Linked DNA regions of Cricetulus griseus. The main gene of each other region encodes a partner of the protein of the gene in region 2 in a complex. Links are inferred from orthologs where the notes say so. Each region holds a gene or a part of one and is shown on either strand. Other genes may lie near its edges.

What was found.
Region 1: the proteins of Rela (region 2) and Setd6 are in contact, whole or in part, in a crystal structure (PDB 3RC0), measured with the Homo sapiens proteins. The link is inferred for Cricetulus griseus from reciprocal best matches to the Homo sapiens genes RELA and SETD6. Residues at the interface, in NP_068810.3 of Homo sapiens: Glu307, Thr308, Phe309, Lys310, Ser311, Ile312; in NP_001153777.1 of Homo sapiens: Ser120, Trp122, Val220, Met221, Ala222, Tyr223, Ser224, Phe225, Gln226, Glu227, Pro228, Pro238, Asn239, Ser240, Pro241, Asn259, Leu260, Tyr262, Asn283, Thr284, Tyr285, Met288, Met296, Tyr297.

The regions. Positions count from the first base shown.
Region 1 is NC_048596.1:171,902,358-171,906,393, forward strand, and holds the start of Setd6 (N-lysine methyltransferase SETD6), read left to right. Parts: upstream 1-1,236; 5' UTR 1,237-1,265; coding exon 1,266-1,641; intron 1,642-1,723; coding exon 1,724-1,865; intron 1,866-1,957; coding exon 1,958-2,152; intron 2,153-2,273; coding exon 2,274-2,397; intron 2,398-3,304; coding exon 3,305-3,485; intron 3,486-3,578; coding exon 3,579-3,721; intron 3,722-3,855; coding exon 3,856-4,036. UniProt on the Homo sapiens protein: Protein-lysine N-methyltransferase. Monomethylates 'Lys-310' of the RELA subunit of NF-kappa-B complex, leading to down-regulation of NF-kappa-B transcription factor activity. Monomethylates 'Lys-8' of H2AZ (H2AZK8me1).
Region 2 is NC_048596.1:53,704,338-53,707,837, forward strand, and holds part of Rela (transcription factor p65), read right to left. Parts: intron 3,013-3,500; coding exon 2,908-3,012; intron 2,729-2,907; coding exon 2,516-2,728; intron 1-2,515. UniProt on the Homo sapiens protein: NF-kappa-B is a pleiotropic transcription factor present in almost all cell types and is the endpoint of a series of signal transduction events that are initiated by a vast array of stimuli related to many biological processes such as inflammation, immunity, differentiation, cell growth, tumorigenesis and apoptosis.

The DNA of each region.
Region 1 (4,036 bases), about 120 Mb from region 2:
TACATTATATAATATATATATGTATATCAGGTCTTCCTGTGTGTGTTTTCCCAATTGGTGGTTGTCTCCTCTTTGGTCAAGGTGAACTTTTAATGGAGTTCATTACTTTCCTCTCTGTACAAAGTTAAGAGCCTAGTTTTGTGTGTTCTGGTGGCTGATAAGAGATTTTGAGATGACAAAATGCAAAACAAAAACCCTTATTAATATAGAAAGTTAACTGTGCAGAAAAACTAATAAAGAAATGAAGTGTATGAGTGTGTCATGTTTCCTGGCTGTCTCCGGCTCGGATGGGTGGAGGGTAGCAATTGTTTCTGTATATCTTTATACCTTCAGTGCCTGTTACACACATTTTGGTGGGAGTGAGGATTGCATGGTCTCATGCTGTAGCCCAGGCTGGCCTTGAACACTCATTGAAATCCTGCTTCAGCTTCCTGGGTGTTAGGATTATGTAGGCCCCCCTTGCCTAGCTTTTTGTTTTTCCTTTGGGGTGATGGGGTTTGAACCAGTGTGGTCACACACGATACTCAAGGTTCTACCATGAGGCCATATACCCTGATTGAGACACGATTTACCGATCCTGACACTAGTTCTCGGTGTCACAGATGAGGAAATAGCTTAGCCAGTAAGACCTCTTCAAAGCAAGGACACACCACTTTTTTTTGCTTGGTTTTTGTTGCTTTGAGACAGTTTCACCCTAGCCTAGGCTGGACAGGAACTCCCAGTAATACTTCTGTCTCAGCCTCCCAAGTACTAGAATTACACTGCCAACTTATCCACGTTCATTCACCTGATATTGACTCCTTCCAATGTATGAAAAGTAAAATGAAAGAGCCTATCATCTCTATACAGAAAATGAAAAACGAGTAAATTAGCAACTGTGGATATGTGTGTCTGTTAGATGTAGAAAACATTCAGGCCACTTCAAACCCACGTGCAAACTATCTAATCGAACGAAAGTCGGTGAAATAGATGGTTATCGCTAACAGGTGGTCGGTCACTACCGCGCAGCAGCTAAGACTCCTGGAAGAAACCGGATTTTGTTCCTGCACCCCGCTCTCGGGTACTCGCCCAGAACTAGGCTGGAGGCAGCACAGACCTGGCCTGTGTGCTCGCGGACGCGCAAAGGAGATGTCAAGCCGCTGGAGGTCCTGCCAGAGACGCTTTGCTGCGGGAGGCCGCGGCGTGGGTGCCTGGACCCGAGCTCCGCCCCGTCCGCTAGCATCCAGCGTCGCCGGAAGCGCCGGGAGGACGCGGCGCCTCCCGGCATGGCGGCTCCGGCCAAGCGTGCGCGGGTGAGTGGCGGCTCGCCCCTCACCACGCCCTGCCCGGTCCGGAGAGTTACCCGCGCCCCCCTGTCGCCCCCGGCTCCCGGGCGCGGCCATGCCACTTGTTTCTCCCCGCTGGCGGCGTGGCCCCGCGGTGGCCAGTCCGACGGCGACGCGGTAGCCGGCTTCCTGCGCTGGTGCGCGGGAGTGGGGCTGGAGCTGAGTCCCAAGGTGGCGGTGAGCCGGCAGGGCACGGTGGCCGGCTACGGCATGGTGGCGCGGGAGAGCGTGCAGCCGGGGGAGCTGCTGTTCGCAGTGCCGCGCTCGGCGCTTCTGTCTCCCCACACCTGCTCCATCAGCGGCCTGCTGGAGCGAGGTGGGTAGGGGGGCGGAGGGCTGGCTCCGGGGCTGGCTGCCGGATTGCGCCTGGGCGGGCGTTCACCGGGTGTCTTCCCTAGAGCGAGGCGCGCTGCAGAGCCTGTCGGGGTGGGTGCCGCTGCTGCTGGCGCTGCTCCACGAGCTGCAGGCCCCAGCCTCACCCTGGAGCCCCTACTTCGCGCTCTGGCCAGAGCTCGGGCGTTTGGAGCATCCCATGTTTTGGTGAGAGCCAAGGGAAGGGCTGGGGAGAACCCGTTTCAACCACTTTGCTCAGGGGCAGGCTGTGAAGGGCCCTGGATGGGTTATCCTTGCAGGCCAGAGGAGGAACGGCGGCGCCTCCTACAGGGTACAGGTGTCCCGGAGGCCGTGGAGAAGGATTTGGTGAACATCACTAGCGAATACCATTCCATCGTCCTGCCCTTCATGGAGGCTCACTCCGATCTCTTCAGCCCCACTGTTCGCTCACTGGAACTCTATCGTCAGCTCGTGGCTCTTGTGATGGCTTATAGGTCAGTGTTAAAAGCCTGGAGGAGCAGACCCTCATCTTTAGAACATTGTTGAGGGGGAAGAACATTGAACTCCAGGCCCCTCACCCAAGAGAGGGCCTTAGTTGAATTCTCTCTGTGGCAGCTTTCAAGAACCACTGGAGGAAGAGGATGATGATGAAAAGGAGCCCAACTCCCCCTTGATGGTGCCTGCTGCAGATTTACTAAACCACATAGCCAATCACAATGCCAATCTTGAGTACTCTGCAGTGAGTGAACCCCTATGTGCATAATGAGTCAAGTCATTGTGCTCCATTTTCCTACTTAACATTAAAATGAATGGGTCAGATTAGCTACTCTCCTGTATACTTTGGTATCAAGTGACAGTAAGAGTGTGGATACACGTGGAGTTGGTGGCACACACCTTTAATCCCAGCTCTCGGGAGGCAGAGGCAGGCAGATCTCTTGTGAGTTCGAGGCCAGCCTGGTCTCCAGAGCGAGTGCCAGGATAGGCCCCAAAGCTACACAGAGAAACCCTGTCTCGAAAAAAAAAAAAAAAAAAAAAAAGTGTGGACACGTCTTAAGGCCACCAAAAAAACTGCCTTGCTCTGCCATGTCACGTGAGTCCCTGTGGACAGCATCATGGAACAGCACTGGTTAAGTACTTTTCAAGAGGTGGTGTGTCCATGGGCCAGAGGTATAGTAAGACTCCAGTTTAGTGTCAGTTCTGCATGAAAAATTTTAAGACACGTGTGTGACTAAAAATTAGCAAATTATCTGGGCCTGGTGGCTTATACCTGCAATCTCAAGAGGCGGAGGCAGAATTGAAGGTTCCAGGTCCACATAACTTCCAGCCATATATAAACATTTAAGACATTGTCCCCAGAGGTCAGCAGATAAAACTTTTCACTTATTCCTACTTATGTTTTGATTTCTGGGTGTGCATCACCAGGCCTGATCTTAACATTTTTTAAAGGGCAGATGACTAGGCGCAGATGCACCTGATACACTAAGCTGACTTTGGGCTTAGTTGGCTTTACCCTTCTATAATACGGAGTTTAACAGACAGTGGTATGTAGCCTCAGCCTGTAAGTTTAATAGGCTCTTCTAAAAGGGAAGTAATCTTCATAGGCTGGTGGGAGCTAAGGTGTGGCCTATTTTTCACTTTTATCCCAGGATTATCTCCGGATGGTAGCTACTCAGCCCATTCCCAAAGGTCATGAGATTTTCAACACCTATGGGCAAATGGCTAATTGGCAACTGATTCATATGTATGGTTTTGCTGAGCCCTATCCTGACAACACAGACGACACAGCTGACATTCAGATGGTGACAGTCCGGGATGCTGCACTGCAGGGTGCGTCTGCCCATCCAGGTTCCATTTTACTCTGCTGACAGCACTTGGCTCGCTGGAGTCGATGTCTGCTCATCTCCATCCATTACTTCACAGGAACAAAGGATGAAGCTGAAAAGCTGCTCTTGTGTGAACGCTGGGATTTCCTATGCAAACTGGAGATGGTAGGGGAAGAAGGAGCCTTTGTGATTGGTCATGAGGAGGTGTTGACTGAAGAGGAGCTAGCCACCACACTCAAGGTACAGGGCTGCTGATATTTAGAATAAAGCCAAACTAAAGACAAAGGTGACTCAGTTTTCCTACAGTGGTGTATCTGTCCTGAAGCTCACAGATAGTAGTGCTTCCTAACTGAAGGGCTCCATGTTCCTTCTAGGTACTGTGCATGCCTGCTGAGGAATTCAGAAACTATAAAGAACAGGCTGGACAGGGAGAGGAAGAAAGAGAAGAGGTCAGTCTGGCAATCGCAAATATCCCCAAGCTCCAAGCATCGTGGAAGCGGCTTCTTCGAGACAGTGTTCTACTGACCCTTCAGACCTATGCCACCGACTTAAAAA
Region 2 (3,500 bases):
GGATTAGTGACTGTGGTGACCTGGCATGTCTCAGCCTTAAGCCATGAGGTTCGGCCTGAGTGGGGATGTGTGGACCTGGAAACTCCTAGCAACCCAGCCTCGATAAAGACCAAACACAGGCATCTTGTCATCTTTAGAGAGCTCTCAGTTCCATGTTGTAAAACTGGAGTCTCTTCTCTATTTACCATCTTTTTGGCTGTTTCTTAACCATGCTTCCATGGCCACGAGGAGACCACTGCTGTCCTTCTGTTCTCCTCTCTGGTCGGATGGCTCCTGTCTGTCCTCACTTGTACCTTACACCTAGCACCTAGGCCCAGATGCAGGCCTATTCAGATGCTTAGGCCCATAGAGATGCAAACTAGGAGGCATTCTATACTAAGGCTATTGTAAACAATAGCAGACCTGCTAGCATTAGCAATACAATAGTGGGCCGGAGCTTTCCGTGAAACCAGAGGCTGGACCTCAAAACATTCTATAATGGAACTATTTTGGTCCCCCAAAAGTGATAAGAGACACAAGGTGGCACAAAGTCCACAAAGCTAAGTGACCTTGGTTTAGGTGTGCCACTGCCTCTACTGCTAGTGAATTCTGTTAAATCATTCCCCTAAAAAGGTGATGATACGCCAGGCATTGGTGGCACAGGCCTTTAATCCCAGCACTCAGGAGGCAGAGGCAGGCGGATCTCTGTGAGGCCAGCCTGGTCTTCAGAGCAGAAACACTGTCTCAAAAAACCAAAAAAAAAAAAAAAAAAAAAAACAAAAACAAAAACAAAAAAGGCGATGAGAGGTTAAAAGGACCACTCATAGGAAGGGTAGATACAGTAGACAGAGCTGAATAAGTTGGATGTCAGAGTTAGGGAAGAAATAGATTATGACTATAATTATATGTTGCTTGACAATGGGGGCACAGCCTGGCAGTGGTGGTGGTGGCGGTGGCGCACGCCTCTAATCCCAGCACTCAGGAGGCAGAGGCAGGTGGATCTCTGAGTTCGAGACCAGCCTAGTCTACAAGTGCTAGTTCCAGGACAGCCTCCAAAGCCACAGAGAAACCCTGTCTCAAACACCCCCCTCAAAAAAAAAAAACAATGGGGACACATCTTAAGACATGTTGCTAGGCAAATTTGTCATTGGATGAATATCCATTTTATTATTACCTCTGTGTGTGTGTCTGTGTGTGTGTGTTCATGTAGGTGTATGAATGTGCATGCATGTGTGTACAGATGTGTGTATGAGTATGTCAAAGCCAAGGCTCAATGCCTGCTTATATGTGTGAGCACCTTGTACATGCCCAGTGCCTGCAGAGTTCAGAATAGTGTCAGATCCCGTGGAACTAGACAGGGTGCTGGGAATGAAGCCTGGGTTCTCTGGAAGAACAGCAAGTGCTCTTAACCACTGAGCCATCTTTCCAGCCCCATCCACCTTAATTATTTGAGATACGATCTCACTATATAGCCCTGGCTGGTCTGGAACTTGTAAGGTAGACCAGGCTGGCCTTGAACTCACAGAGATCTGCCTGTCTTTGCCTCCCAAGTGCTGGGATTAAAGGTGTGCACTGCCATGTCCAGCCCACTTCATTTTTTGAGACAGTACCTCTCACTGAATCTGGAGCAAGGCTGGCTGGCCAAATAGCTCTAGAGGTCCGTCTATTTCCACACCATCTGCACGCTAGCTACACACGTTTGCTGGAGTACCCAGCTTATTATATGAGCATCTTTTTCATCTTTTTTGTTTGGTTTGTTTTGTTTTTCAAGACAGTGTTTCTCTGTGTAGCTTTGGAGCCTATCCTGGCACTCACTTTGTAGACCAGGCTGGCCTAGAACTCACAGAGATCCATCTGCTAGCCTCTGCCTCCCAGGTGCTGGTTTTACCTTTTTTTTTATTTTTCTTGAAATTTAAAGATTTATTTTATGAATATGAGTGCTATATCTGCACATAGGACCTATGCCAGAAGAGGGCACCAGATCCAACTATAGATGATTGTGAGCAACCATGTGTGTGGGTGCTGGGAATTGAACTCAGGACCTCTGGAAGAGCAAAGAGTGCCCTTAACCTCTGAGACACCTCTCCAGCCCTGGTTTTCTTTCTCTCTCTCTCTCTCTCTCTCTCTCTCTCTCTCTCTCTCTCTCTCTTTGTTTATATGAGCATCTCAAAGATTACTTACACAAACTAAGACACCTATGTCATTAGACAGTGTAGTTCCTCACCCCCCTCCCCCAGGTCAGAGTTTCTCTGTGTAGCCTTGGCTATTCTGGAGCTAGCTCTATAGACCAGGCTGGGCTCGAACTCATAGATTCATTTCCCTCTGCCTTCTGAGAGCTGGGATTAAGGGTGAGCCACCACTGCCCAGCTAGATAGCGCAGTGTTATATGACCACCATGGCATATGTGGTCTTTGACAGAAATACTATGTGCAATGAACTACAGTATGTATAAATCCTATGTGCTTGTCCCAGACATCCTGGTCTTTTTCCCAGCTGGGGTACAGAAGCCTTGGTACTGCTCTCCCTAGCATCACACCTGTGTCTGGCAGGTACTGGAACTCCATGGGCTCACTGAGCTCCCGATCAGAAGGCCGCCGAAGCTGCATGGAGACACGCACAGGAGCCTGCAGGCTGGGGTCAGCGTATGGAGGAGTCCGGAACACAATAGCCACTTGCCGGTGCACATCAGCTTGAGAAAAGGAGCCTCGTGCTTCCCAGCCTGGTCCAGTGAAATACACCTCGATGTCTTCTGCAGGAGACAGAGTAGTAAGGGTTAGTATCTGAATTCCAATGGACCTTGGTCCCCAACTCCTGATGCTTTTCCCCTGAGACGTCACCCTGTTTCTCCTGAAGCCACTGAGGTCCCTGGCACTCATCACCCTCTCAGCCTCACCCCGCCCCTCGTGGCACACATAGCCCAGTGTGTACCTTTCTGCACTTTGTCACACAGCAAGAAGATCTCATCCCCACCAAGGCAGCTCCCGGAGTTCCGGTTTACTCGGCAGATCTTGAGCTCAGCAGTGTTGGGTGCACCTGAGGATGTGACATGGATGGAAACCCTGAGCCACCACAGGTCTCCAGGGCACCCGACAGGAGATGTAACAGCGATGCCTGGCAAGTCCCATGTCAAGGTCTTCCTTCCACAGCTTGCTGACAACACTTCTGCAGACTAATCCCATCTGCTCTTCACCTCAACCAATTCAAAAACACCTCCTGCTGTGTGTGTGGAGCATGGCTCTAGAAAAGGCAGCAGAGCAACAAAGAGCCCAACGTATTCCTGTCCTCACAGACCTTACAGCCCAAAGGAAACAATCTGACACCTTGTCTCCCTCTGCCTGATCAAACACATTTTCAGCTTTTGGTTCATCTCTACCCTTGGCAATGAGTCTTTCCCTCCTCACTCCCAGTTAATCCTGGTTTCCGGTCCTTGGGGCTCCAAAGGCCTTTTATTTTCAATTGCCCTGCTGCTTACTAATCCATCAGTGTCAGCCCAGGTCATCTGAGAGCTTCCTGTGAGCTGC